3 linked regions of the Arabidopsis thaliana genome follow. The protein of the gene in region 2 interacts with the protein of the main gene of each other region in a pairwise test. Each region holds a gene or a part of one and is shown on either strand. Other genes may lie near its edges. The genes, in order: GDU2, GLR1.3 and CPK1.

The links.
Region 1: the proteins of GLR1.3 (region 2) and GDU2 interact in a protein complementation assay, tested with the Arabidopsis thaliana proteins (one large-scale study listed by BioGRID).
Region 3: the proteins of GLR1.3 (region 2) and CPK1 interact in a protein complementation assay, tested with the Arabidopsis thaliana proteins (one large-scale study listed by BioGRID).

What each region holds. Positions count from the first base shown.
Region 1 is NC_003075.7:13,111,332-13,121,331, reverse strand, and holds GDU2 (glutamine dumper 2), read right to left. Parts: upstream 5,305-10,000; 5' UTR 5,184-5,304; coding exon 4,794-5,183; 3' UTR 4,377-4,793; downstream 1-4,376. Other genes in the region: AT4G25780 (CAP (Cysteine-rich secretory proteins, Antigen 5, and Pathogenesis-related 1 protein) superfamily protein), read right to left, coding at 1-225; AT4G25770 (alpha/beta-Hydrolases superfamily protein), read left to right, coding at 1,350-1,660, 1,752-1,819, 1,912-1,982, 2,061-2,300, 2,424-2,587, 2,669-2,724, 2,822-2,874, 2,961-3,084 and 1 more; ABCG4 (ABC-2 type transporter family protein), read left to right, coding at 8,972-10,000. UniProt on the Arabidopsis thaliana protein: Probable subunit of an amino acid transporter involved in the regulation of the amino acid metabolism. Stimulates amino acid export by activating nonselective amino acid facilitators.
Region 2 is NC_003076.8:19,614,234-19,624,845, reverse strand, and holds GLR1.3 (glutamate receptor 1.3), read right to left. Parts: upstream 4,580-10,612; 5' UTR 4,531-4,579; coding exon 4,239-4,530; intron 4,147-4,238; coding exon 2,918-4,146; intron 2,836-2,917; coding exon 2,529-2,835; intron 2,431-2,528; coding exon 2,057-2,430; coding exon of another isoform or gene 1,988-2,056; exon of another isoform or gene 1,950-1,987; coding exon 1,569-1,949; 3' UTR 1,421-1,568; downstream 1-1,420. Other genes in the region: ATGLR1.2 (Glutamate receptor family protein), read right to left, coding at 5,600-5,992, 6,083-6,456, 6,550-6,856, 6,964-8,207, 8,317-8,602; AtSPO22 (Tetratricopeptide repeat (TPR)-like superfamily protein), read right to left, coding at 9,483-10,103, 10,183-10,612.
Region 3 is NC_003076.8:1,414,277-1,424,888, reverse strand, and holds CPK1 (calcium dependent protein kinase 1), read left to right. Parts: upstream 1-4,334; 5' UTR 4,335-5,011; coding exon 5,012-5,924; intron 5,925-6,041; coding exon 6,042-6,185; intron 6,186-6,280; coding exon 6,281-6,433; intron 6,434-6,594; coding exon 6,595-6,710; intron 6,711-6,865; coding exon 6,866-7,033; intron 7,034-7,184; coding exon 7,185-7,409; intron 7,410-7,760; coding exon 7,761-7,874; 3' UTR 7,875-8,325; downstream 8,326-10,612. Other genes in the region: AT5G04885 (Glycosyl hydrolase family protein), read right to left, coding at 21-264, 345-490, 594-684, 787-991, 1,295-1,539, 1,792-1,823; AT5G04860 (splicing factor 3A subunit), read left to right, coding at 10,430-10,612. UniProt on the Arabidopsis thaliana protein: May play a role in signal transduction pathways that involve calcium as a second messenger. Phosphorylates the Ca(2+)-ATPase ACA2 resulting in the inhibition of its calcium activation.

The sequences.
Region 1 (10,000 bases), on a different chromosome or scaffold from region 2:
GCGGTCCCATATCAAAGGAGGTTCGAATCTTGCGGCACGGACCAGGTTGTGTCGGAACAAGAACTGCAAGGAGTCGTGGTCACATCCCGGACACAAATTCTTACAGATTCGGAACACCTGACCGAGTGTTGCTGATTTGGTTATTAAAGAATTGGTTATTGATAAAGAAACGACGACATTAAGGGCACCTAAGAGTAATATTACTCGTAAATAGGATGAGCTCATCCTCTCTCTTTTCTGAGATTATATTGTTTTGTAGGTGCTAATGGATTCGGAGGTTCAAGTGTGTTATTTAAATATACAGAGAAAAAGAAGGAAACGATAAACTGTGTAATTGGAAATGTATGGATACAAATTTGAGGGGTTTTTTAGCGGCTCTGTCTAATTATGTAGCGGCTCTGGCAGATTGTAAATTTTAGAAAGAAAAAGAAAAGGAGATTGATGATAATTATGGATTGTATTATTTTATTGGAGAGATATGATATGATTGTGTTATGTGTTGTCCCGTGAAACCCTAATGTTGGACGTATTAGATAGGCGGATATTTGATAATGGTGGGTCGTCACGGAAAACGCCAATAAGTCAGCATGCTTGCCAACCCATATTGGCACTCACAACTCACAACATTATGGCCATCAATTTAATCCATGCAATGATATAAAATACTATGGAAGATAAATCAAATAGTTAGGGATGAAATTAAGAAAGAAGAAGGACGAAAAAAACGAATGAATTTAGCAATCGATTAAGCCAAATCGAAATTGGAAATCAAAAGAATGTGAAAGAGATTCTATTGGTACTTAATTAGTACTTACACGTTTTAATGTGAAAGAGATTTTTTTTTTTGTCATACATGTCACATGTGCAATATGAATAATCAAATGAGTAACTTGAAATAATTGATTTAAATGTGCTTTACTTTTAAGAAAGAAAAGAAAACAAATCCAGACATTTTAATGAAATAAATCTTTACATTTTATATTGAGATTAGATGTACTTGCAATGAAATAATTTTTATTTACTATTTATCCTATACTAATAGTAGTTGATAAATCTCTACATTTTAGTGTAGATTTTTGCAAGTCTTCCAAAATTAAAGTTTTTTTGTTTGTTAATAACAACACCATTAACCTCTTATAGTTTTTAATTTATTATCAATCCACTATTAATATTTTTTTTAAAAACTTATTTTGACCAAGTGTTTCTATGTTACCGCTACTGTTGCTTAGCGCCTCCGCAAAACCCGCAAATTGTAACACTTCTTCGCCGGAAAAGTTAAGCGACTTGTCATCATCAGTTTGCTAGTCAGGAAGATAACTTCCTTCTTATTGTGTTCCTTTTACTTCCACATGATCGCGTCCTTCTCCAGATTCCAAATCTCAATCCCCGATTTGATTCCGTCTTCACCGCGATTTCTTCCGCCTAGTCAAAACCAGTTCCGTTTCAGATTATACCTTCAATTTCCAGCTCAACCTAAGAATCTCTGTCAAATGGAGTGGATGAATCGTCTTGGAATCGGTTGCTTTGCGGCGAATCGAAGCAAAAGAGAGCTGACGACGGAGATCGACAACGGCGGAGAAGACTTTTTCGATGCGGATGTTATGGAGTCTGCGGAGAAGCCTGATCATTTGGTGGTCATGGTTAACGGAATCGTTGGCAGGTAGACTAAATCAAAGAGCTTCAATTAGAATTACAGATTACTATAGTTTGGGTTAAAGACTGTGCTAATTCTGTGTTGGATGATGATTTAGTGCGGCGGATTGGAAATATGCGGCGGAGCAGTTCGTGAAGAAGTTCCCGGATAAAGTACTAGTGCACCGTGCGTGTTTCTTGACCTATAGATATTGTGGTTTTGATTACTCTGTAATTTTATGATTTGTTTGATTTTGATGATGAAATTGGATGAAGCAGGTAGCGAGAGTAATAGTGCAACGTTGACATTTGATGGTGTTGATAAAATGGGTGAAAGGCTAGCTAATGAGGTAGTATTTGGATGCATTGTTGTTTCCTCTGTAACTTGCAACTTAAAATTTGATTTCTATGTTTGAAAATTTGTGAAGGTTTTGGGTGTTGTTAAGCATAGAAGTGGGCTGAAGAAGATATCTTTTGTGGCTCATTCATTAGGAGGTCTTGTTGCAAGATATGCCATAGGGAAGCTCTATGAACAGCCAGGGGAAGTCGACTCTCTGGACTCTCCTTCGAAGGAGAAGAGCGCAAGAGGAGGCGAAATTGCTGGGTTAGAACCTATGAACTTTATAACTTTCGCAACGCCTCATCTTGGTTCAAGAGGACATAGACAGGTGAATTGATGTTTTAGACTGCATGCCTAGGTCAAATGTTTATGTAAGGTTTGCATATATATATATAGATAATCTCTTTCTGTAATCTGTATGACATGCTTACTCTTGTCTTCATTCCCTCAGTTCCCGATTCTTTGTGGCCTTCCGTTTCTTGAAAGAACAGCATCCCAAACTGCACATTTGGCTGCTGGGAGGACCGGAAAGCATTTGTTTCTGGTGGACAACGATGATGGAAATGCTCCACTTCTTATCCGGATGGCTACAGATTCTGATGACTTGAAATTCATGTAAATGCTCTAGCTTCTGGGTGTTTTCATTGGTGACTTGCAGATTGATATGCTCATCATCTCTTCTTATGACCTCAACAGATCAGCTTTAAATGCTTTCAAGCGTCGTGTGGCATATGCAAACGTGAATTTTGATTGTATCCTTCCCTGAAAAAAACATGTTTTTAAAGAGACTGTCAATGGTTTTTGATTATTTCTATCATTTACAAGAGTTTGCCTTAACTAATGAGAAAGCTATGGTTGGATGGAGGACATCTTCAATTCGCCGTCCAAATGAACTCCCAAAGGTATGTCTTTACTTATTATATTTTGTGCACATCTTTAATGACGTTGTGGGATTTATCAATAACTATTATCCCTGCTCATCTTCCAGCCAAATCTTCTAGCAACGGATCCAAACTATCCACACATTGTATACGTAGAACGTGGAAATGTGGACAATGGTAGTTGCCAGTCAACTTCTACAGTAGTAACAGAGCAAGATACTGATCTTGAAGGTTTTGCTTTATTTCTCACTTGACTATTTGTTTTTCAAAATTTGCTAGAAAAAATGATATCTCTATCAGATTTATGGAATGTGGTAGATCCTTGCCTCGCTATCTATTACCCATTGGTCTTCTTTATAACAAGTAGAATCACTAACTTCGTCCTGTTATGGTTTTTGTGAAATGTAGAGGAAATGATACATGGACTCAGTCAACTATCTTGGGAAAGAGTAGATGTCAGCTTTCACAATAGCAAGCAACGATACGTCGCGCATAGTACCATCCAGGCAAGTTTAATGATAAGAACTCAAAACTCAAAAGCGATTTTGTTAAGAGCATTTGACATAATTTTCCCTGTAATGTGTAGGTGAAAACATATTGGTTACATTCTGATGGCAAAGATGTTGTCTTCCACATGATGGATCATTTCGGTCTCTAGCCCTAAACATTTTCAACCGCTGCAATTAGTCAGCACTGTAAGAAGGCGATAAGCATCACAAACTTCTTCTCTTTTTTGTTGGTTATTTATATCGTATTTAGTATGATGCTTGATGCGATACAAATCGTGGTAAAGTTCTTGGCACTTTTTCCTTGATGGTTATTTAAAATGTTTTATAGTTCTGTCGAACAATGAATCTGTACAGATCTACCCGTTCTTTGTAAAAAAAAAAGGTTCATACTTCTCTTGTCACTATCGATTCTATAAGTTTTTGTTTTGATCATAAGACTTGGCGCCAGTTGAATGTCGATTTTTCCACAATTATTGTTGGTTTTCCAGTTTTATTGGCATCATTTGCGAGCTCGTTTGTTTTGACACGTTCACATAATAAACATAGTAGGAATTGGACAAGAAAACGAAAGGACGTAAACACATGACACAACCAGTGACCAATTGCCCATACTAGAAAAACAATTATTCAGTTAGTTGCAGTAGTCTCCATCCATTATATGTGTCACTGTTCACATTGTACTGATCATCCAAAAGACGACAATTTATTGTCCAACGATAAACGATAATGCTTTCAATTTCAGTGAATGGTAAACAATGATAAATGGATATGCCTGGAAAAGAAAAAAAGAGAGAAATGTATAGTTGAGAGGCTATTTGTTCTTTGATAAAACTTGATGATATTTAGTAATATATCTAGAAATTTAGGAATAAAGGTACAAAGAGAATAATTCTCAACTTCGGTTCGCCACAACGAATTAGCTTAATATTCGGCATGCGTCATTGTTGGCACATCACTAGAAGTTTTCACAACACATCTCTTTCCCTCTTTCGTAAGCATCATGTCTGTACATCTCTCACTGGGAAAACATTTTTGTCTCTCTATACACGAAAACTGAATTAAGGACGCACGATTTTAGTTGTATCTTTTATTTATTTTGTCTGTCAAGCTTCAGTTCTATCTTTAATCGCTAGTCCAAAACAATCATCTATTCAAACTCTTAAAATTTACATGTACCGGATATTCCTTCATGAACCATAAACGGGAAAAATTTGAAGAAAACTGAGACAACCAAAAAAAAACTAAAACCATACGAAATAAATAAAACTCTAATTTATATCCCATCAGCTCACGTAAGGTTGGCGTAATTATGAACCGACACAAAAAGACCGGACGGATCGATTCCGGAGTACTCCGTAACGAATGCTCTGTTTTCAAAATATGAGGGAGGGCTCACCGTAACCTCCGGTGCTCTGCTATACCACCTGATCACTACCCTCTTCTTCCTTCTTCTTCGTTATGATCGCCGCAAGTACAGCTTTGCTCAGACCGAGTCGCTGGCGTAGCCAAGTAAGTAGGTCTGACATCACCGGCCATTATGACGAGAAACTTCTCCGGCATTTCTGTGTGCTTAGTTTTGTTGGTGTCATTGTCGGGTTTGGCATCATCTCCGGCCTCAAGATCTCTCTCAGCGGAGCCGGAGAGTCTCCAGTAGGAACATGCGAGGATGAGAAGAGCGACGCAGATGAGAGCCAACATGGCGGCCAAACCACCGAAGAGATAAGGAACCGGAGAGTGCCAAGGCGAGTGAGGCACCACCATGGAGGAGCTCGCGTTTATGCTGTCTTGGTAATTATATTGTCGTCCTTCCATTGTCTGCATGTGTGTTTTACTGTTTGGGAAGAGTGAATGAAATGAAAGTTTTCTTTGTTAAAAAAGTAATTAATTTATTGGTGGGAGATGAGATTGTGTTGTGAGAGGCGTTTTATAGAGGAACGTATGGGATGGATTGTTTCTTAATGCAATGGATTTGTGTATGGTTCAGTTTTCAGTATTTTTTTGGAATGTATGAAAAAAGTCAGTATTCATTATTTGTACTTTGTAGAGTGAGTATTAACGAAATTATTTTTTAGGGAATCATCTTCCATAATGGAGTAAACAATTGATTGGTTTTTGATATAGAGATGTAGTTTTTTTTTGCATTTATACTTACATGAATAATTTTTTAATCAACCTCAAAAATGATATTAGTTTAACGTGGTGGCTCAATGAAGACATTTGTAAAATCATGTATATTTCCTTCTTTTGGATGTTAATTTGAACTTGTATTAAGTTGGTTTTCTTATTTTTTTCATAATTGTTTTGTTTAATATATCCGTCTTTAGTACTTTAATAAAGTTTAAATTTTTATTGGTGGCTTTTAATTAATAGTATCTTTTAAATGCAATAATGGATAGAGGTTAATTAAAGTTAAGAATTATTTAATAATCTTGTTACGGCAATTTGCACATTAACCTAACTGTTGAACTAACTAACCTCTTTGTTTTGGCTAATCAGTTTTTATTACTTTGCTTAATTAGGTTAAACTCAAGATTTAATATCATTTAGGAGTTTCAACTCAAAACTATTTTCAATGCCATTTATACACTATATATGGAGTTCTTAACAATATGTATAAAACTGTAAGAACTATATACAGTAAAGGGTATTTAAAAAACTTCTGGTTAGATAAAGTAATAGAGCGAGTAGTGCAATTGGAGGGGTAGGTTCTCAGCGTCAGCTTCCACCATGACTAAAGGAAAAACGGATATTCCATTAGTTTCCAATCACTTTCACTTACGTTCTCCATTTCCACATTCTTCCTCTTCCATTTTCTTTAATTTCTTCATTCGTACTTTAAGATCATTGTTTAATGTGTCCACTAGTATTACAGTAAGCAATAATATATCATTACGTCAACTAAAAGGAATTTCTAAGGCAGAACCTTTTTTAAAGCATCCAAACCCCCAAACAATGTTATGTGCGGTTAATATGCCAACACAATCACTAGTCGCTTACATTAATCTTTGGAGATAAGTTTTACTTTTAAATCCCCTCACTGTGTATATATTAGTTTTAAATTATTATGTGTGTGGGCTGTATAATTTATTCCCTGATCCGACTTAAATTCCGGATTTGATTTGTGTTTGTGCATGAATCATAGGGAATCATATTCTCGTTAAATAGGCACGTTACATGTGAAGATAATGTATAAAATAAATACATATACCTAGGAACCCATTATTTAGTTTCTCGAACAAACAGATTAAGTACGATAATTAAATATTGGAGTTCTATTCTTCTTCCTTTCCGGTAATTATTCTGCCAGACCAATTAGAATCGGTATGTTGATTGTTGAAAAGATTGATTGATGGGTGCTTCATTTTGTGCTTGGTTAACAATCAGAATACTTGCCCTCTTTACTTTTATTTCTTTTGAAATTTCCTAAGAAATCGTTTTCGGTGTTGAAAGAATTAACAAAGGTTCCAAATATCTCAACTTCTCAAGTCAGAGATTAGCTTTCATGTAGTTTTTCAAATTGTGTTTATTTCTTCATCTAATTACTTTTAAAGGTGGCTCGTTCAGTTTTTTTCAGAACTTATCTCCGTACATTCTAAAACTCATTTTTAGTTATCAAGATATTTTTCTTTCTCTTTAGATACGGATTAGTGAACTTGAGATAGGTATATCTAATTTAAATAGACAGCTTTATAGAGCTATGATGACACTTTTAAAAACTGATAGATATGCAACAAATATCATTATTGCATGCCTCACAGTTCACACATGTTATTTGAAGTTTGAACATTAAGTCATAAACAACAGTTTAATTACAATAAAATAATCAACATTTGCTAGCAAGAAAAAGAGAAGATATGGTAATAAAAATAAGGTTTATTGAAAGAAAAGATGAGAAAAGGAGATGAAAGTACAATAATTGTATATATCGTCAACCATGGCGACATGATCATATACATACATGTTTAAAATAATTTTGGAAAGTGTAAAAGCAAGTGTCTAAGGAAGTGTTATGCACTAATAGAAGTATAGGACGGTATCTAGTGAGAAGAAACAAAGAGTAAAGATACAAAAAAAACAGAGTGATTAACATTTCCTACATATATTCTATAGTTTTTTTTTTGGAATATGTTGTAACAGTTATGACATGATTCATGTGGAAGCTGCTACAAAAAAGTGGAGGAACGAGAGGGAATAGTAATAAAGCAGAAAGGGGTGTTTCTTTGAGAGAGTACATTTGTGAACGAGGACCAGCCTTTGTGGGACCTAAGAGTGGAGGGTGGTTCAGCTTTTAGCCGAGACGTCCTCATCGCCCAGCACCCTGGTCTGGTCCATCCTCCTCCACTGTCGCCTGTCGGCCTTCATTACTCTTTAACTTACCCACACACATTCTTTTCACTTTTCAGTTTTGGGTCTGTTCTTGCAGTTATGATATATACGGCATGGTATATTTATCTTGTGACATTGCAAGTTGCTTTTCACACATTTTTTTCAATATTGATCCACATTCAAATGGGCTTATTTCTGATTTCCTAATGTCAATTTTCTTCTGTTTAGCCCTGCACTCTGTTCTTGTTTTTGTACCCGTTAAGGGGCTTTGAAACAACATGCTACTTTTTATTATGTGTAGAAATTTAGGAAAAACACAACATGAGATACGGATATATTGATGGCCAAAGAAAGTGAAGAGAATGCTTTATTAGTATAACAAACTATATAAACATATCACATATGTGATATGTATAACAAGTTACTATAATATGATTCAAATTCTGTTTAGAATATTTTCTTTCATAGATAAAGAAATTGTACCATTTACAATTATTTCACCTATTAACTCCTAAAGTTTATTCATTTGCATGTACGGTGATATACCTAAAGTAAAAGCAACCACAAGTAACTATAACTAACTAACGTTTAAGCCAGATTGTTTTTATAGAAACTCCTTCAAATCCAGGACTGGTCACGTCATTAATATGTAATTGTAAAAATGGTTTGGCAAATTGTGTGCCAAACAAACAAAGGAAGATGCAGAGATTGGGAAATAGACTTGTACGTGATTTGCAATTTTCTGTGTAATAATTGTCAGCAGGCCCGTGACCTTTATCTGCATTCCCCTTTGGCTTTCTTCTTCTCAGTTTCTCAACAATATATATTCACTATGACACACATGCATATTCATTTGATCCATCTTTACATGTTTTCAATAAATGTGTGTATACGTAACTGTTAGCAAGCTTTCTTTATGAGAATATATCTAAGAATTTTCGTTTCTTCTGGATCCACCTTCTCACTAATAACTCCATCTTAATTTGGACTTGAATCTCTAATGATCTCTTCAATATCTGACTCTCTCTTGTCTTACTGTCGCATCCTGGTTACATCACCGTTTGACCACAATTATATTCGATGAGTTCTATGTAACGCAAAATTCAAAATGACAGAAAAGACAAAATAATTAACCAAAAGGTCAAAAAACAAATAAGAAAGAAAAAAAGACTGAAAAATTGTCAATTTCATTGGAAAATACAAAACATTCCAAACTCAAGCATCAATAAATTCTCTTTACAACACTCACTTCCCTTCTCCAACCTTTAAACATTTCTCTCAAAATGGAGTCGTACACTTTATCCACCTCTTCCATCTCCTACGCCAAACCTCTTTCACCGCTCCTCCTCACGGCGGAGCAACCTTCCTTCATCCTCCGCAACATCACTCTCACCTCTCATCCTTCCCAAATCCTCGCCATTATTGGCCCTAGCGGCGCCGGAAAATCAACTCTCCTTGATATCCTTGCCGCAAGAACCTCCCCGACCTCAGGCTCAATACTTCTAAACTCCGTCCTTATTAACCCTTCTTCTTACCGTAAAATCTCCTCCTACGTTCCTCAACACGACACCTTCTTCCCTCTCCTCACCGTCTCCGAGACCTTCACTTTCTCCGCCTCTCTCTTGCTCCCAAAAAACCTATCAAAAGTCTCCAGTGTCGTTGCTTCTCTCCTCAAAGAACTAAACCTAACACATCTTGCACATACAAGACTAGGTCAAGGCTTGTCCGGTGGTGAACGCAGGAGGGTTTCAATTGGTCTAAGTCTTCTTCATGATCCGGAAGTACTACTCCTCGACGAACCCACCTCGGGTTTAGACAGTAAATCCGCTTTCGATGTCGTTCAAATTCTCAAATCTATTGCGACGTCCAGAGAAAGGATCGTGATCTTGTCCATACACCAACCTAGCTTCAAGATCCTGTCTCTCATCGATCGCGTGTTACTCCTTTCTAAAGGAACCATTGTATATCATGGAAGGCTTGACTTACTTGAAGCATTCTTGCTCTCCAAGGGATTCACGGTTCCTTCTCAGCTGAATTCTCTTGAGTACGCTATGGAGATACTTCAGAACATCCGTGATCCCTACGAAAACGCCAACATTGCTCTTCCAGACCACTGCCCTGAAAGTAAAAAACAGAACCAAAAACAGAGCATTGTTCGATATAAAAGCTCGAGAATCACCGAAATAAGCCTTCTCTCTAGCAGGTTTTGGAAGATCATATACCGTACAAGGCAGTTGCTTCTAACAAACATCTTAGAATCTCTTGTAGTCGGTCTTGTCTTAGGCACTATCTACCTTAATATCGGAACTGGC
Region 2 (10,612 bases):
CCATATAGGGATCACAGAGAATAATCCCGAGGACATGATTAAAATTGGAGTACAGATCAATTTAGCAAACGAAGAAATTGCACCAAAACATGGAATTAATGGTCTTGGGACAGAGTGCGTTTGCCCAAAACAACAACAACAAAATCTAATTTCAAAAGATTGTGCCAGTAGATTAAGGGCCTGGATAATCATGATTATAATCAGATCCAGGCGAGTGATACTGCCGATTTCTATTTCGCAAGTTATGATTTTCATAAAATTGATTGGATCGTGAATATCTTGACCCAATCAAAGAAGCTGAGACTTGCTTTAAAAAAAAAAAAACTACAGACCCAAAAAAACAACAAAGGAGTACTTTACGATTCGTTTAAGCTGCAAAATTTTGAAAGAGTAGCTAATTTAGAGACATGAGAGAAAGGCGTTGTAGAAGAAGAGAAAGAAGAGAGATTATATATAAGATTGGGAGAGAATAGAGATTAGGGTTTCTCTCTTCTCCTTTCTTCTCTTTGAAAAAGCTTATGGGCTCATTAATTTTATTAGCCCAGCCCAAACTGAAAGCCCACAACTGACCGGCATTTCGGATTTCTTACTAGGTTTGATTTTGATTTTGGAACTAATGTCAATAAACCGGATATTAGATTGATTCGGTTGGAAGGGGAAAAGATCAATTTCTCTCTCTTCTCTCTCTTCAATTATTCAGAGAGAGGAACACGATCTTTGTTTCTCCATCCGGTTTGTTTACTAGTTTTGTCTCTGGTATGGTTCAGCTTTGTCTCCGGCGAGGTCCGGCTTTGTTTCGGCTATCTGTTGCCGCTTTTTGTTTTTTCTGTTGAATAAATTATGCGATCTATGTTAGTGTTGTGGTTTTAGGTGATTCGTCTTTGCCTAAACACAATTCTCTCCAACATAAGATTGATGAATATGATGCTTGAGTTCGTGAACCGTTGACGTTTAATTGGGAAGATTTTGAAGTTGAATTTCCATGAAGTTGAAGATTTGTTTTTAGAGCTTTGGAATTGACAATTGCTATCACCGGATTCAACATGCATATCGCGGCGTTCTGGGTTTCAATGGAGTCGACAATCTTCTTCGGCGGCGACCAGTGATTCTCCGATCTTCTTCTTCTCACGTGTCTTCAGCACCTAACCTTTTCATGACACGTGTTTTAGGTTCTGTTTCAATGATTCTTCTTTCTTCCTGATGCGGTTTCCTACTTGGGCTTCATAGTTGGGCTTGAAAAGTCTTACACTTATGTTTAGTTGAATTTGGCTCTGTTGTTTGTCTCAAACTTTGGCTTATGTTGATATAACAAAATGGACACTCTTGTGACAAAAAAAAAAAAATTGATTCGGTTGGTTCCACCTTAATTGTTTTTTTTTTTTTTTTTGAGAACCATACCATTTGAAAGACACTAATCATATATGAACCAACTATATAAAGGTGGTTTTGAATTTGATCATACAATTTACAAGCAAGGATTTGGTCTAAACAGCATTTATACTTTGATATGTAAGTCATTTACAAGTAAAGATTGTTTGTGGACCTTTTGATCTAACCCTAATCAGTTCCTATTGTCTATTTTGTTGAGCCATTTGAACCGCAGTTTCGCCAATGGGGTCATCAAGGGGACTAGTATGTATAGATCTTACAAAGTGGATCCTGAAATGTCTAAGTCGTTGTGAGAGGTCTAGATTGTCCACAAGAATTTCCCATTTGTCGCGGAGACAGAGAATGACAAGTACCGCAAGAGCGAAAGCGAATGAAACACCGATGATTATAAACAAACCGCGGAATCTGTAAAGAGTAATAGGATTTGATGTATCATCGGTTGTGTATGGAAGTTGATTATCAAACCATCTTTTCTCCATCTCATTTAGCTTCTCGCTCGTCCTTAGCTTTGAGATTTCTCGGGACACATTAGGCACCAACTCGAAGCCCTTTTGAAACATCTAAAACATAGTATAACAATAACAAACCAAACATGTTCTTATGTCAGCAAGTCAAAAGTAAAGAAAGAGTAAAGAAGCTTATGACGATGAAGAAGAAGGATACATACAAAGCCGAAACCGTTGGTGGTAGATTGTGTCTTGACCATGAAAAAATGTGTTGGATTCTCGCCAAGGACAACTTTGAGGTATGGCAACTCATCAACAACAAATGAAACAGTCTTGTTCAACAAGGCTTGAGCATAATCTGCAGCACTATTAAGACCCAATGATCTCATTGCTCGGAGGCTGGAACTAGTGAGAGCCACATTTGCAATGAGGGAGCCGGAAAGGTGACCCACGTAGTCTTCGTTGGAGTTAAATCGTATCTGTTGTACCGTCATCATTGATGTCAATGTTGCAGTGTAACTTGCAGTCAGTATGAGCACTGCAAATACCCAAACTGTAACAACAAATCTTGATAAGTTGTGTTTTAGCTTTTCCCCTGTCACACATAGTATAAGCAGCAAAAGGTAAGCATGATCACTACAATCTTTTCTGAACAAGATTGGCATATATAAATGTGAAAAGGTGAGTACTTACTATGAGCATAGACAAGGGTAGAGAAGCCAAACCAAAGCACAACTCCAATCTGTTGTGGCCAAGATCCTTGGAACTCTTTGTTCTCAGCTCTTTCTATCAACCAAACTATAACTCCGGTCAAGACAAAAAAAAATGCACTTGTTATCCAAAGATCTGGTGTTAAAGGTTGGAAGAACACCCACATACTTCTCTCTTTTACTGCTACAATTCCAAGACCCATTTCAGTGAATGGCAACGTAAAGTCAACATACGTCGATCTATTCGAAGTGATTGTAATATCTCCCACGGCCGCATCATATTTGTCTTTCTGTGGGATGCAACACAAAACAATTAAAAAAAAAAAAATACTTGTTATAATATAAAACACTTAAGTAAGACATGGTTAGTACCTGGCTATGAAGTGCATATGCAAGATTGTCGTAGTTACTTCCATTGAGCCAAGGTATATACTCAACTTCATAGTTGAAAGGACTAATCGAAGCGCGAAAGACTTCTATACAGAACCCTTCAACAATTAATTCATTTGTTACTGGATCAGTCTCCACTTTCATCAGTCTTGGGAATCTATTGCTAGATGTAACCAAGACCCTCAGCTTTTTTCTATCGCTATCTATTAGACTAGTCCCTTTCGGACTTTGAGCAGACCCACCTGGCCAGATTATGGTCTCAAGCTTGTTATGAGTAGAAGATAAATGTCTTCTATTACTAAAACTACCGTTAGAGTTCAAGAATCCTACTCTTCTCTCACTTGATCCTATCATATTGATAATCTCAAACTTGTTTGATAACAACTTCTTATCATTTAGTTGGAAATCACCACTCAAACCGTTAAACCTAGTCTTTGTGATTTCCTCAAGGAGAGTTGATGTCACATTTGGCATCCTTATAACTTCTGCTGCTCTCGCCAGAGCAAAAGCGATATCGTGAGCCCATATGCCAGAGATACTCAACCGAGTTAGCTCCGCTTCTTCAACAGGCAATGATTTTCTCCATCTCAAAGTGAAATTTTGAAGCTCTATAGACATTGGAATGTAAGACTTGAAACCAACCACACCTTCCATTGCCTGCTTTGTGAAATCATCAATGTTCTCATGGAAGCTGTTCATAGTTTTAGCAGTCAGGATCCAAACAAACCCATCACCCATCAACCCTAATCTCCGAGCACATGGGAATAAATGAGTTGCAATAACTTCAGACAAGTGAACAACAAAGACAGTAGTCCCCAAGTCCTTCAGCTGCTGTAACCGACCCATCACAAAATCCTCACTAGAAGAGACAGTAAAACCAACCTTGGACTGTACACGAACACCGTTCTCATGAAAATGCTCCACCAAAAGTTGCATACTCTCTCTCCAGTCATCATGATCTTCATAAACAAGAGCAACACTGTTCCAATCAAACACATTAATAAAAGATGTAATCCCCTTTGCCTCAGAGGTAGAATCATGTGTGGCTTGGATCAAGTGAGTGTATTTGCTTAATGACAATGAAAACGGAGAGTCAAGTGAAATCATAGGAACCCTAGCTTTCTCTCCAAGTTCCCCTAAAAGCTTCGCTTCTAACAACGAGTTCCCGCCAATAATCGCTTCTACTCCTTCAGTTTTCAGAAGATCTACAGCTGTTTCATTCACAAGAGATAGAAAACCAAGATTGTGAGTGTGAATGGAGACAGAGAAGAAGAGAGTTTTTGTAGAGAAGAAGTGTTTTTACCAGAAGCAAGAGCAAGAAGAGGCTCTCCATGAGAGTTTCTGAGTGAAACAGAGACTCTTGTTTTGTAATCATTATGAATAGCGTAGAAATAGGAAAGAGCCATGGAAACAGAGTTTTTCACTATCTTCCCTTTCAAGGAACCCAAATCCAAAACCAACCCGACCCGGATCTGAACCCGTTTACCTCCATCAACGTCGTCGTTTTTAGTAGAAGCAAAAGACCTGGAGATGAAGAGAAGCAAAACAAGAAGAAACGATAGCAAAGTTTGGGTTTGAATACAAAATCTCTCCATTAAAAAAACTTTCCAACTAGAGAGAAAGGAGAAACCCCACGTTTGCTGCTTTTAGTCATTATTTTATTTTGTTGTTATATAAACCCATGCCGTGTTTTGTTTTTCATCTGTCTAATTATTCCAATTTTAAAAATTAACATACGTACTATATTTGAAGAAAAATTCAAAGTTTAAGATGATGACATCATGATTTTAAGAAAAATTACATTAGTCAACGTAAAATTCGGTATGGGCTATCGAGTTTGGCTACTCTTTTGTCTCTCAAATCATTTCATTATTTAAGAGAATCTGACTAAATCTATCAAAATGTTTGGTGAAGAAAGTAAAAAGGTAAAAATACGGAATAAATTCGAAAAGGATTCTATAGGATAAAATTTTGTCAACTAACCAATTTTAGCAAAAGAAAAAAATCATTTGTCTTAAAAAAAAAAAAACATTTGTCAACGGTCGTAGGAACAAATGTGTTTTAATCTGAAATTTTTACACGTAGAACTCCATATTTGTTTTTTTTTTGGTTAAAAACTCCATATTTGTTGGGGTTGTATTAACTTGTGTTGACAAGAACAAATCAACAAAAGTACTTAGTGTAAGGGATTTGACAATTTAGACAGTCAAAGATATAAATCTAGAAGCAGAGAAAAATGGTGAAAGTCGTCTCATCTCAAATAAATTGATGGAAGAAATTAAACACAAATACCAACAAACGAAATGCACGAGTCTTTTACATACTGATTAAAGTTTGGTACATTTTTTAAGGTTTATAAAATGAAGAATTAAAGTATTTTTTTCTTTGCAAAAGTATCATATTCTCCAAAAAATACTCAAACTAAATGTGTTAAATTTTAACTCAATATATTACCAATACCTTTTTGCTATTTACAAAAGTGGTTGCGAATATGATCACACTATAATTTACAAAATTGGTATAACAATCATTTATACTTTCAGACGTAAGCCGGCTTGGATCAGGAGCTAGTGGATCACTGGAGGATCTTCTTTGCTGCTCCAAGGTCAGAGTCAGAGACGTACCACATCACAACAATTGTTTTCTCTCTATGTTACTCATTTCCTATCGTCTGTTACGTTGAGCCATTTGAACCGCATTCTCGCCAATGGGGTTATCGAGGCCGAGGGGACTAGGATGGATAGTTCTTGTGAAGAGGATCCTGAAATGTCTAAGTCGTTGTGAGAAGTATATATTGACCGAATTCACAAGGATTTCCCATCTTTCTCGGAGCCAAAGAATGAGAAGTACTGCAAGAGCGAAAGCGAATGAAACTCCGGTGATCATAAACAAACCACGGAATCTATATAGGGTTATAGGATTTGATGTATCATCGGTTGTGTATGGAAGCTGTTTATCAAACCATCTTCTCTCCATCTCGTTTAGCCTCTCGCTTGTCCTCAGCTTCGCAATCTCCCGGGACACATTAGGCGCCAACTCGGACCCCTTCTGGAACATCTGGAACATAGTATAACAAACCAAACATTTCTTTTTCAACAAGTAAAATCAAGAGTAAAGCAACTGATGATGCAGAAGAAGGATACATACGAAGCCAAAACCATTGGTGGTAGATTGTGTCTTGACCATGAGAAAATGTCCAGGATTCTCGCCAAGGAGGATTTTCAGGTATGGCAACTCACTAACAATATATGAGACACTTTTATTCATCAAAGCTTGAGCATAATCTTCTGAAGTATTGAGACCCAATAATCTCATTGCTCTGAGGCTGGAATTGGTGAGGGCCGCATTTGCGATGAGGGATCCCGAGAGGTGACCCACATAATCTTCATTGGCGTTGAATCGTATTTGTTGCACCGTCATCATTGATGTCAATGTTGCAGTGTAACTTGTAACCAATATGAGCACCGCAAATACCCAAACTGTAACTACAAATCTTGATAAGTTGTGTTGTAGCTTCTCCCCTGTCACACAGAGTAAGCAACAAAAGGTAAGCATCACTACAATCTCTTCTCTTATGGCCAAATTGGTATATAAGAATGTGAAAAGGTACTTACGATGAGCATAAACAAGGGTAGAGAAGCCAAACCAAATCACAACTCCAATCTGTTGAGGCCAAGATCCTTGGAACTCTTTGTTCTCAGCTCTTTCTATCAACCAAACTATAATACCCGTCAAGACAAAGAAAGCTGCACTTGTTATCCAAAGGTTTGGTGTTAGAGGTTGGAAGAACACCCACATACTTCTCTCCTTTGCTGCTACAATTCCAAGACCCATTTCAGTGTATGGCAACGTAAAATCAACATACATCGATCTATCGGAAGTAATTGTAATATCTCCCACAGCAGCATCATATTTGTCTTTCTAAGGGATGCAACAAAAATTATCAATGGAATTAAGTCAGTTCCCACACACAGTCTACGCAAATTTTAAAAGTACTTGCAATTGTAAAATCGAGCCATGCTTAGTACCTGGCTATGAAGTGCATATGCAAGCTTGGTGTAGTTAGTTCCATTGAGCCAACGTATGTACTCCACTTCATAGTTGAAAGGTGCAATGGATGCCTGAAAGACTTCTATACAGAACCCTTCGACAATTGTTATCTCATGTGTTATTGGATCAGTCTCCACTTTCATCAGTCTTGGGAATCTATTGCTAGATGTAACAAGAACCCTAAGCTTTTTTCTACCGCTCTCTCTTAGACTTCTCCCTTTCGGACTTTGAGCAGACCCACCGGGCCAAATTATGGTCTCCAGATTGTCATGAGTAGAAGATAATTGTCTTCTATTGCTGAAACTACCATTAGAATTCCAGAATCCTACCCTTCTCTCACCTGATCCTATCATATTCACAATCTCAAACTTGTCTGATAACAACTTCATATCATCCAACTGAAAGTTACCACTCAGACCCTTAAACCTGCTTTCTTTTATGGCCTCAAGGAGAGTTGATGTCACAGTTGGCATCCTTGTCACTTCAGCTGCACTCGCCAGACTCCAAGCGACATCATGAGCCCATACGCCAGAGATACTCAACCGAGTAATCTCACTCCCAGTAACTTCTTCAACAGGGAGTGTTTTTCTCCATCTCAAAGTGAAGTTGTGAAGCTCTTTTGACATTGGTATATAAGACTTGAAACCAACCACACCTTCCATTGCCTCCTTTGTTAAATCGTCAATGAACTGATCATGAAAACTGCTCATGCTTCTGGAAGTAAGAATCCAAGCAAACCCTTCACCCATCATCCCTAATTTCTCAGCACATGGGAAGAGACGAGTTGCAATAACTTCAGACAAGTGAACAACAAAGACAGTTGTTCCCAAGTCCTTAAGCTCCCGTAATCGATCCATCAAAGAATCCTCACTCGAAGTGACACTAAAAGCAACCTTGGACTGTACATGAACGTTGTTCTCATGGAAATGGTCCACCATAAAATGCATACTCTCTCTCCAGTCATCGTGATCTTCTAAAACAAGAGCAACACTGTTCCAATCAAACCCATGGAGGAAAGCTGTAATTCCTTTAACCTCAGAGGCAGAGTTATGTGTGGCTTGGATCAAGTGAGTGTATTTGCTCAATGACAATGACATGGGAGAGTTAAGTGAAATCACAGGAACCCTAGCTTTCTCTCCAAGTTCCGCCAAAAGCTTCGCTTCTAGCAACGAGTTCCCGCCAATTATTGCTTGCACTCCTTCTGTTTGCAGCAAATCTACAACTGTTTCATTCACAAAGATTGTGAGTGTATGAATAATCACAAAACAAAAATGGATAAAGAGAAAAAGGTGATTTATATAGAGAGGTGCAAGAGTAATGGAGTATGTTACCTGAATCAAGAGCAAGAAGAGGCTCTCCATGAGAATCTCTGACTAAAAGAGAGAGTCTTGTTTTGTAGTCATTGTGATTGTCGTAGAAATCAGAAAGAGCCATGGAAACAGAACTCCGCACTATCTTCCCTTCCACGGAACCCAAATCCAAAACCAACCCGACCCGGACCCGAATCCGTTTATCATCATCGTTGTTTTGACTCGAAGCAAAACAGTTGGAGATGAAGAAAAGCAGAACAAGAAGAAACGATAGCAAAATTGGGGTTTGAATACAAATTCTCACCATTAAAATTCTTTCCAACTAAAGAGGAAGGAGAGACCTCACGTTTGTTGCTTTACACATCATTATTATTATTTTATATAAACAGTTATAGCCTACACATGCCGTGTTTTACATTTTCTCTATTCTATTCACATATATTTAAGAAAATCGTAAGAAGAAAAAGAGAAATTCAAAGTTAACGAAATTTTTAGGAGGATGACATTAGTCAACCGATTACAATTTAAGAGAAATTTCGTTGTGGAGTACTAAAGGTTGGCTACTTATCTTTCTCTCAAAGTTATTATTTTAGTTACGAAAGTAAGAAGAACAATATGAAAAATGAAGATTCTATTGGACAGAATTTGTCAAAGGTCAATTTTAAGCAAAAGAAAACAAACACCTTTCAATCCCATAGCTTTTGGAGAGTATTATCCTTTGCCGACAAGAACTAATCAACAAGTACCAAGGATTATATAATCAGACGGTCACAGATATAAATCTAGAAGCAGAGGAAAATTGTGAAAGTCGTTTCATCTCAAAAGTAAACGATCTCATATGATCAAACTTAGTCAGTATCTTATGTCCTTTCTTAAGTTTAGGCCTCCACCTAAAACTAAGTGAATTCTTAATAACTCTACACGACCACAAACTCTTTCCATCATAAAAATCTACGGTCAAATGAATTTTGATCTTAGTAAGATTTGCATAATTCCCATGAGAGATGAATATGTCTTAGAGCAGATTCTGTTTGCAAGAAGCGATTAGAAATATAGTTTTACATGTTTTAATTAGTTTTTCTAGGGGATTTAGTGTGTACTATATGAACTAAACATCTTCAACAATTCTATATCTCAGATTTATTTCATGGACATTTAAACTAATGAGACAGTTAATATGAATGAAACTAAGCAGAAGAAACTTTGGTCTGAAAACCAGCCAAGTAATCCTGCATACAAGCTTTATAAGTATCCATACCTGTAACCTTATCAGCGATTTCCAACCCGATGCTCAGCCATTTTTTAGCGGTCTCAAACTGTCCTAGCCTCACGGGCAACGCTGCTCGGTTCCAAGCTGTCATTGCGAGCCATTTCCCTTCTTCAGTCGGGTATTCCCCTTCCTTCAACCCAACCATGATTCTGTATGCTTGTTTGTACATCTTTAAGATTGCTTCTTCATCGTCTGTATCGCCTTTGTGGACGCTGGCTATGGAGATCAGCTTCCTGATTATAAGAGCTATGGTTGGGTACTCTGGTGAAGCAGATGCGATCAGAGCGGATAGGCATTCGTTAAGAGCAAATGTTGACACGTCCGGGTTGGACTGAGGGCTTTGAGAGGCGAAAATTCCAAGTTGGAGAAGATAGTTGTAATGACAAGACTTGGAACCAGCAAACGTCTTTACCACAAGTAACTGGAATGCCGAATTGTTGAGCCTTCCGTGTATGTCATACGCAAGTAAAGTGTACATAAAGATGAGTTCTGGCTCCATGATACAATCTTTACCATCTGAGAGCGAAGAAGACATAATCTGCAAATATATAACCAAACATCAGTGAAACTGAAAGGTAAAACTCTGCAGGTAATATTAATAAAGAGGAGGATAAGACCTTTCCTGCTCTCACGAGCAATTCTGCAGCAAGTTTCACTTGGGTTTCAGTCAGTGCGCTCTTGGTTTGCTTCTCCAAAGCAATCATAGCGGTGACACTTAGTATTATGGACCTGCAAATCATCAGTTTGTCTTCTCCAGACTCATCAGTATCTATATAGCCATAAAATTCAGATGCCAGCCTCAAGAATTCACCACAGAGCTCATACTTCTTTTCCTTCCCACACCTTGACCCAAGATTCCAGCAAGTCGCAGCAAACCAATTCTGTTCTCGCTTTCCAGTCTCTCCTAATCCAAAGAAACACTCTGTCCCAAGCTTAGAAGCCCTGCTCTGAGCTTGCAACATAAAGTTAAGAGCTTCGGTTTCGCTGCCAATGTCTTGAGTCAATATAGTGACTAAGGTACGGAAGACCACAACCTCTGTGGTTGGC
Region 3 (10,612 bases), about 18 Mb from region 2:
GTTGTGATAAGTAAGCAGACCTTAAACTTAAGGGTACCCTTAAGATACCCTGTGATCAGCTCAGTATTTGCATGCATCTTCTCACCATTCCAGCTCGAATATGAAACCATCACTGTGGAAACACCTTTGTAAACTGCATCAGCATAAGCGGGCATGTGAACGCTAAGAAGACCGTGTAAATCAGTCACAGTGTTGTTCTCGTTTACTCCGCGGGTTGTCCCACCATCTCCCACGTAATGCTTGGCACAGGCTGCAACTTTATCCCTATCAAAATAACACGCATGAAAGACCGAACATACTTTTGTAAGGCTATCATAACCGAACCAAATTAACAAAAGCCTTACCTGCCACCAACGAATGGAACTCCGTGCTTATAGTTGGAAGGAGGCTCTCCTTGTAAACCAAGTATGACATCCGTCATGTCTTCCACGACTTTGTGATCCTCGCTGTAGCTCTCATAACATCTACCCCATCTGGGATCTCTACAAACCTACAAAAAGCGAGTGGGTAACAACTTTAACAAATGTCCAAAGTACCAATGATATGAAGAGTGCCAGGTATATAAAAGTTAGGCAGACGGTGAGAAAATTTACTGCAATGCAAGGAGCAAATGTGTATGGGATTCCAGTGGCTCTGACTTCGACTGCAGTTGCTGCTCCAATCCTCTTAACAAGATCAGGATCCCTGTGAAACTCAAATCTATCATCAGAAGAAATATAGACAGCATTCACAGAAACAGAGATGGGAAACATGCAAGATCGAATAAACGTTTTAGCTAATACTTGCCTAGTGGCTCCAAGACCAACATTGTGAGGGAAAATAGTAGCGTTATAGACATTGTTATGCCCGTGAACGGCATCAATGCCATATATCATAGGAATTCCCAAACGACTAACTAGAGCCCCCTTTTGGTACTCATTTATCATATCAACCCAATTCTGAGCACTTGCCTCAGGAAGTGGAGCGCTCCCACCACCACTCAATACACTGCCTGTACAGAACAAACAGACAACTTCAATTTTCAAGTTTCACAAATACAGATACTCAATACCAAGTCAAGTTACGCAGCTTATCTAGTTCTTTATTAACAAGATGATGAGAAACTGAAGTTCAATGAAAGCAAAAACTGAATGATATCCTCATTTCACCTAACAACACCAGTAGCACCGACCAGTTTTCTAAGGAAACCATACAAGATGCCCAAAATAAGGTTTAAATGAACCAATTAAACTAGCCAAGCAAGTAAGTAATCAGATTTCTGGAAATCTCCAAGAAAGATTGTTCTTTTACATACCGATGAAGTAATCTCTCATAATGTTGACAGTGGCAACACTTCTATCAATCTGCACCATCTGGCCAATCTTCTCTTCCAAAGTCATTCTACCAAACAAATCCGCAACTCGATCTGACACCGTCTGTTTCGGGTCCTTGTACAACAGATACTCTCCATCCCCATAACAACAAACCCACATACACATCCATAGAAGAACCCCAACGATTCTTACTGAATCTCTGCTCATCTTCGTAACAGGGGAAACTCTGGCAAAACAACAAAGACGGAAGAAACTCAAGATAAGAAAGACTTGTCACTTGTCAGCTTAAAAAAGAAACCCCCAAAATTGTGAAACCTTGGTGCTTATCAGCAGCCAACCAAGAAAACAAAAAAGCAACTTCGTTATTCATCAGTGACAAGAAAGAAGAAAAAAAGCAAAAATAAAAGCAAGCTTTTTAAGATTTACTGTTCGAATTTCAACAAAAGATTGAATAAGCACACGAATCCGTAAGAAGTACTTTCTCATTTTCTTATTTTCCAAACGAATCATTATAAAGCTACTAGCCTCATACAAGAAACCAAGAACCAAGCTAGCCAAGAAAACAAGAAATAAGAAGAAGCATACATTGGGGGTAAGGAAAAAGGCAAGATTCAACAGTAGAGAATGGAGGAAGAAAGAAGAACTTACATGTGAGAGTTAGGCAGAGCAAGACCAGAAAATATCTGATTCTTCTTCGCTGAGAATTTTTATATGAGAAAATAAAGAGTAGTTAATAAACGCTTTTAAGCAGATTTGAGAAAGAGAGAGAGAGTGTTAAAAGACGTTGATGCGGTTTTGTGTTGTTTTTATTGGGACGTGGGGTTGGCTCACGTTTTTCCACAAAACATCTGTACCAGTCTACACTGCATAATGATGCATAACGACGAACAAAGCGGCGTCGTTTTAGTTTTTTAAAAAAGTTTCTTTCTTTTTTGACTTCTTACTTTTTTTTATTACTGAAAAGTATCGTACTTGCTTTAACGTACCTTGGACACGTGTCAGTAGGCGGGAGAATCGGATTCCTCGACTCTTATCTCACGCTAAACCGGCGATTCTCCGCCTCCCGCCGCCGCTTCGTCTATCTCTATGGCCTCCGTTGCGAACACTGAACTGCTCAATACGCTTCTACTGTATCTTCCTCATAAGCCTTCGCGAGGTTTCTGAGTCGCTGCTCTGTGTATCCACCGCCGTAAAAAGCTCTCCTTTTTCCTCTCCGATTCTTCTTCTGTCGACTTTGTCTCCATCCTCGGATCATGATGACGGGAATAGGAGCCGTTTGATTGAGGTTAGGGATTTAAGTGCTTGTGATTGTTGAATTGTGGAAGAAAGGAGAGATTTTTCATGTTAATGAAACACTAGTACATATAGACGTTGTGAAGTTTGTTAGCCGTGATTCTATTGGATATTATTTCTGTACTAAGAGAGCATTAGCTAAAATTTCTGACAAGCTTAACTAATTCCAATTGTGTGAATCATTTGCATCATTGCTGATATTTCCTAACTAATATTATGAAAGGTTGAGGCTCGTAAGTTTTTTGCTTATGAACACATTTTTTCAAGGTAAGTTTCTCAATCTTCATGTTGTTGAAACATATGATTCCTAGAGTATCTCTACTCGTACCCCTCTCATAAATCATTGTGTTTAAAGCCGAGCATCTGCATGATATGTAAGGATCTCTTGCGGTTCTCTTCTTGAGTCTCCAAACTCCAGTTGAGATCCCTGGTGTTAGCAATATGGATTTTCTCGAGAATATAGTATTTGATGCTAGGAACAGAAAACCTGGTCAGCCAAAGATTGAGCCAATGTAGGTGTCTTCGCGCATTAGTCAGTTAGATGGTTTTGGACTGTTACTTAGTTGATGGTGCACACTCATATATCTGATATAGAATTGTGTTCATGCAGTTGGAGGATTTAGAGGTGGCGAAAAGAAGCATAAAGAGATTCTTCCATTTCCAAGCGCAACACATGATAAGAAAGGTGAGGGTTTTCTTACCTTATTTTCCGGTCAATGGAAGACACACACTTGAATACCGTCATTTCCCTTTCCCACACTTGTTCTCTATTAGTGTCATAAACAGAATGCCGAATAGGTTACTTTTCATTTTATAGTCATGACTAGGAAATTTTGTTCCTCATAGCAAGATATGGAAACAGTTGTCAATTTAATTTCGTCATAGTGAAAAGGATCAATCAAGGAACAAGTACGGAAAAGATTGAGAATCTCTGTAATAAGGATCATCTGTTTTTGGAGGTCCTTGGATGTTTACTTGATCAGGACGTGGCAGAGGCAATGAACAGACTTTTGTCACCAAAAAACGCTGTTGTGATGATTGATAATCTACTATCAGAACATACTGCACTACATCAAACCAAGTCTCATACACATCATAGTGAGCGTCTTTGCCACAAATCATATCTTCTTAAATACTGATTCAAACCACCATCTCTTGATAACAATAGTGAGCTTCGTTTTTGTTTTAGGCAAGCATTCTTTCCATATCAAATCAATAACAGAGTGTCCAGAGATTCATACCGTTCTATTGCAGTAGGGACATCTCATTGGCTTATCTACTGGAAAAAGGAAGGGTGCTTGAGTGTTCCGTTAGGACCAGCAAAAACAATGGAAAGTGGTGATCATGATGTTTAGAACACCAAACTCGCCGTCTCTACAATATTAGTTCTGGTCTAGGTTTTGATCTTCAATAATAGCTGTGGTCGGAAGGAGTAATTAGGGTAAAACATAAGGGCGAAGACAAGAATGTGTAGAGCATGTGATTTGTTCAAGCTTTAACATGTGGATGTCTTATTTTTAATGACTGCTCTTTAATATGTGGGTTTTGTTTGCGCATTTTTCACTTGCGGGTTATATTTTTCAAAAGTAGTAAATGATGGGACCATTATAAAAAGGATGTTATTAGGACTCCAGAAAGGAAATTGATTTTATGGAAAATCACCTTTTTACCTCAAAGTTTTAATATATTACTAATTAAGTACCCTTACATAAGAAGCTGCGTTGCCAAGATTGAAGAGGGTGGTGGACTTTGTAATCAAAGATTAATTAAAAAGAGAGTTAAGACAAATCTCAGCGGAAAACTCGGCGGTGATAGATAATCAAAACAAAAGAAACGCGTTTTTCAAACTGGTTCAATCTTCTTCTTCGTCTTTCTTCATCGTCTTCTTCTCTATACAGACCTTGACTCTCTCATTAAATTAACAAATGTCCCTACGGTTTATGCAAGTGTAGTGCTATTAAACTATCCCTTTTATTTTCCCACCCAACTCAATTTATTTTCTCATTCTTTCTCTTTACTCTTCTTCAGATCTCTCTGTTTCTTTCTTTGTTGTTGTTATCTGGGGATGCTTTCTACTCTCTGTTTGGTTTCCTTCATTGTGACTTTCTATTTTCTGGGTTTGTTTCAAGTCATGATTTTTCCGATACCCTTTTGATTTTTCTTGCTATTTCTCACCTCTGTATAAGCAAGCTCTCTGCTGTTTCTCCTCATCCAAGTTGGGTTTATCAGTTCAGCTGTGTAGAAATTCAATCGTCTGAGAAGTCCGAGGTTTGATGTCTGATGGTTTTAAGATCGAAAGGATTTGACTTTTATCAGATTAGTAATGAGATTAGATTGTTTTTGAGGTTATTGTAATCAGATCTTGATGCTATTTCTGGTGAAAGAGATTTAAGACAAGTTAGGGAATGGGTAATACTTGTGTTGGACCAAGCAGAAATGGCTTCTTGCAATCTGTTTCAGCTGCAATGTGGCGGCCAAGAGATGGAGATGATTCGGCTTCCATGAGTAATGGAGATATTGCAAGTGAAGCTGTTTCGGGAGAGCTTCGATCTCGATTATCTGATGAAGTCCAGAATAAACCTCCTGAACAGGTCACAATGCCGAAGCCAGGGACTGACGTCGAGACCAAGGACAGAGAGATTCGAACTGAAAGCAAGCCTGAAACGCTAGAGGAGATAAGCCTTGAGTCCAAACCAGAGACTAAGCAGGAGACCAAGTCAGAGACCAAGCCGGAGTCAAAACCTGATCCTCCAGCTAAACCTAAGAAGCCTAAACACATGAAGAGAGTGTCAAGTGCAGGGCTTAGGACTGAGTCAGTGTTGCAGAGGAAGACTGAAAACTTCAAGGAATTCTATTCCTTGGGAAGGAAACTCGGACAAGGGCAATTTGGGACGACTTTTTTATGTGTCGAGAAGACTACGGGGAAGGAGTTTGCCTGCAAGTCGATTGCTAAGAGGAAGCTATTGACTGATGAGGACGTTGAGGATGTGAGAAGAGAAATTCAGATAATGCATCACTTGGCTGGTCACCCTAATGTCATCTCCATCAAAGGAGCTTATGAGGATGTTGTGGCAGTGCACCTTGTAATGGAGTGTTGTGCAGGCGGCGAGCTTTTTGACAGGATCATTCAACGCGGTCACTACACAGAGAGGAAAGCGGCTGAGCTCACTAGAACCATTGTTGGGGTTGTAGAGGCTTGCCATTCTCTTGGTGTTATGCATCGAGACCTCAAGCCCGAGAATTTTCTGTTTGTCAGTAAACACGAAGATTCCCTCTTGAAGACGATTGATTTTGGACTCTCCATGTTCTTTAAACCAGGTTTGATTTCATTGTTACTCATCTTAAAAGATCCACTTCCAGATTTGGTCTTTAACGTGAATAGTGTGATCCTTGTCGAACAATTATTTCTGAACTCGATTCCCTTCCTCTTTGCAGACGATGTTTTTACAGATGTTGTTGGTAGCCCATATTATGTTGCCCCAGAAGTTCTTCGAAAGCGTTATGGCCCTGAAGCTGATGTCTGGAGTGCTGGAGTGATTGTGTACATTTTATTAAGCGGAGTTCCTCCATTCTGGGCTGGTAAGAATTGTATATATACAGATAAGAGATTTGTCACTTTTCCTAACTAGGCTCTGAACAACATCTCTAATCTTTTTGTTTCTTTGAACATTCAGAAACCGAACAAGGTATTTTCGAACAGGTCCTCCACGGTGATCTTGACTTTTCGTCCGATCCATGGCCAAGTATATCTGAAAGTGCAAAGGATTTAGTGAGGAAAATGCTTGTCAGGGATCCCAAGAAAAGGTTAACTGCCCACCAAGTATTATGTAAGTTATTTTGATCTGAAACCTTCTCTTCCAGTTAAAGCGCTGTGATTCTCTTTCTGTTAATTCCATTGAGCATAGATTTCACTACATGAATAAAGTGTGTTGTCATGTAGAGTGATCTACCATCGTTCTATCTCTTATGGAGTTGTGCTTCTTCTCAGGTCATCCATGGGTTCAAGTCGACGGTGTGGCTCCAGACAAGCCTTTGGATTCTGCTGTTCTGAGCCGTATGAAGCAGTTTTCTGCAATGAACAAGTTCAAGAAAATGGCTCTTAGAGTAAGCAGCTTTCCGATGCTAAACAAAATTTAAAACCATATAAAAGAAGTTCCTGTCATAAACATAAGATAGCTACATTTAACCCATCTTCCTCTTGTTATGTGGAAAGAAAGAGACGACGGAGATTAAGTTTCTCTCTTTATGCCTTTTTGCAGGTCATTGCTGAGAGCTTATCTGAAGAAGAAATCGCCGGCTTGAAAGAAATGTTTAATATGATAGATGCGGACAAGAGTGGTCAGATAACTTTCGAAGAACTGAAAGCAGGACTAAAACGAGTAGGGGCGAATCTCAAAGAGTCTGAAATTCTCGACTTGATGCAAGCTGTAAGTTTTAACCGGCATACCAGTTCCCTAACTAAGATTCTGAACTGATCTTGTTATCATTCAAACTTACTCTGTTGGTTGTGGTTATATACTTCTGTTTTTGCTAGATATGCAAGTAATCTGGTTTCTCTCTCATGTGTATATAATTCAGGCTGATGTGGACAACAGCGGAACAATAGATTACAAAGAGTTCATAGCTGCAACATTACATCTAAACAAAATAGAGAGAGAGGACCATTTGTTTGCAGCCTTTACATACTTTGACAAAGATGGGAGCGGCTATATCACCCCAGACGAGCTTCAACAAGCTTGTGAGGAGTTTGGTGTTGAGGATGTCCGCATAGAAGAACTGATGCGCGATGTTGATCAAGACAATGTAAGTTCCTTTACACCTTTTATCATCTCATCCTAATTATAAAATGACTTGAATACTTCTCAACAATGATCAAATTTCAATGGATTATATACATTTTACTCATAGGAATCTCACTTATATGATCCTCTTAAATCCTTGCATTATTAAAACTACACTTCACTTACCGAGTTTTCATGTCTGTTTTCTTGGGAAAACTGAGACGATTGAGTATGATTCTTGTTAAACCTAGGGGGATAGTAGAAACTCTCTTTCCTGAGAAACAGTGAAGTAAACCGAGTTTTCATGTCGGTTTTGGATTGATATATTGGTTGAATGTTGATAATGTTGAACATTTGAATTGTTGTATTGTAGGACGGGCGAATAGACTACAACGAGTTTGTGGCGATGATGCAGAAAGGAAGCATCACAGGAGGACCTGTGAAAATGGGTCTAGAGAAAAGCTTTAGCATTGCTCTTAAACTCTAGTTTCTCAGTCTATTTAAAAGTACAAAACTAAAGCCAAGAAGACAAAAGAGTTTTCTGATAATATATACCATTTTGATTATGTTGAAGACATATGCACACAGCCAAGATTCTCTCTTGCCCTCTTTTGGATTCTCTCAATCTTTTGGATGAGGTTTTGTCTTAGACTTGTTTTGGAAACTTTGTTGTATTGTGTTACTTCTTGAGCATATATAGTCTTCTAACATTACAAACCACGATTTCTTGTCTGTAAGTAAATTCAAAGAGTCAAAAAACTTGAACACGATTTGGAAATTTTGCGATAACGATCATCAAATTTTTGTGAGGGCTTTTTCTTGTAAAGCAAAAAGTTTGAGTATTTATGTGAAAATCGTTTAAAAGTTGAGGTACTTCTATGTAATTTCCCAGTTTTCTTTTTTTGAGAAATAAAATAACTTAACCGAATTTCAATTAATTTGTTGTCCGAATTATATAATTCAAGTCCTTACCGAATCTAAGCTGAAATCAAATTAAATTATAAGCAGATAATTAAATTGGTCACCGAAAATAATAGCCACCAAACCTCCTAATCCTAAACACGTAGTATTTTGAGATCTTTATTTTCCATTTACATAATTAATTTCTTTTTTATGATTGGAAAAAACGAATAAAATGATCTTTTAGCTAGTGTTTTTGGTCAACATAAATACCTAACTTACTCTTTAGAACAACAAAAAAAATGGAGGAAAAATATAAAAGTGGGTCTCACAATCAAGTTATTTCTCCAAAAATAAATAATTTAAAGCTTGCGTTTGTTGTTGACATTTAAAAATGTTTATTTTGGGGTACGACTTTTTAATTTATAAAATTATTAAATTGGTTTTATTTAAATAAACTGATTAAATTGTCTATTTCAAAACTGCGTCCCTATCCCTTTTAAATTTCCTAATTTCAGTCCACAAAACGTGATCATGATTACTGTATCATAAAGTTTTATTTGTGTAGGGGTCTAATTGTTAAATATGTTGGTCCTTGTTTAAAGTGTTAATTATATTTGAAAAATATAAGTAGTCTAGTTTACTTTTTCTAACTTTTATTGAAAAATGAATCATTGTACGTATTAAGTTAGTTTTTTTCGGGATTTTCAGTTCCTATGAAAAATGAACAACACATTACACATATATATAAACATGCAACTCAAAATATCGAACCCTAAAAACCTCATATTGTTTTAGAATGTACGTGTTTGTCACAACATCAAAAAAATACTCATCACATAAGATTTTTTTTTTTTTTACGCTGGATTAAAATGTGGTTTTATTTTCCATTACAAAAGAAGTAAAAAGCAAAAAGGATCATGGGAGCATGAGTTAGTGTAGGGACTGTATTAACTTTAAGGCAATGACATATGGTTAGGACTTAGCAGCTAAATCTTTATGAATTAGGACATACCTAACTTATCCTTCGTGTACATTAAAAATCTTATCTTTCACATGGATTGGACAAAATAATAGCTTAGCTATAAGCCTATAAGATTTAGTTAACACTACAAATTTTATTAATTTTCTGAGTAAGCAAAAAAAGAAAAGAACAGTTTCTTATGAGGGGTCGAAATAAATTTGTGAAAAACAATTGATGCATATTAAAAGTCATACTTGTGAAGTTTGTGATCAAGATTTAAAGAGCCTCTAGAGTCTATTATAGATATGAATCCTGCTACTGGCTGCAATTTAAAGAACTTTATGGAAACAAAATCATTAGAAAAATCTAGTCAGAACTTACAGATAAAATAGTTGACACAAGTTTTTTTAATCGTTATTAATTTTCCTTTACTAAGTCAAAAGTAATAATTTTGGTAGCTTTAATTAACACTGTAAGCAAATATGGCAGATAATATAAATTCCTAAACTTTAGCCATAAAAAATCCAACTTTACTCAATATAAATGGCCGTTTTTACTAGTTATAGCATTTATTGGGTTTATCTATAAATGCAATAAAAGATTGACTTATTCCTCACATTTCTCTATATTAAACCGGATAATCTTATAATTACCGGTGAACAAAATCTCTACAATAATATTTACAAGAAAAAAGAAAGAAAGTAACAGACTACTTGAAAATTGTAGTTACAAAAAAGAAAAGAAGGTAATCACACAACGTTAAATAATTTTCAGTTTTAGAATTAATTATATTTCTCTAAAATGATAATTATATAAAGCTTTTATACTAAAAACAGAGAAGAAAAAAATGTCAAACATAATTTTAAATTATATACATTATTTAATTATTGTAATCAACAATTTAATATTACCGTCCTTTTCTCTCTCTATCTCTATAAGGGTTGACTCTAAAGAAAACAAACGCAGAGATTCCTTCTCTCTACTCTTTTCTCTCTCTGTCTCTCACTTTCTTCAAATTTCAAATATTTTGCGTCTGAATCACACCGCGTCCACCAAATCCTCCATCTCCATCTCTTAAAATCCGATTCTTTCCTCCGCAAATCTCGATTACTCCAACACCCTTTTTCTCTAAGATTCCAAACCTTTTAGGTTTTTTGTTGCAGCCACTTGTGAATTGTATGGTGGTCAAAATGAAACAGATCATGCGTTGGCCACCGTGGCCTCCGCTCTTCGCCGTTAAATTCGACGTGATCGTCGTTGTTCACCAGATGGATGGTTTGTTGGATTCCGATGGTGGTGGCGATGATAGTACTGATCAGAGTCAGCGAGGAGGAGGGACAACAACGAGGAAGAGACCTGTT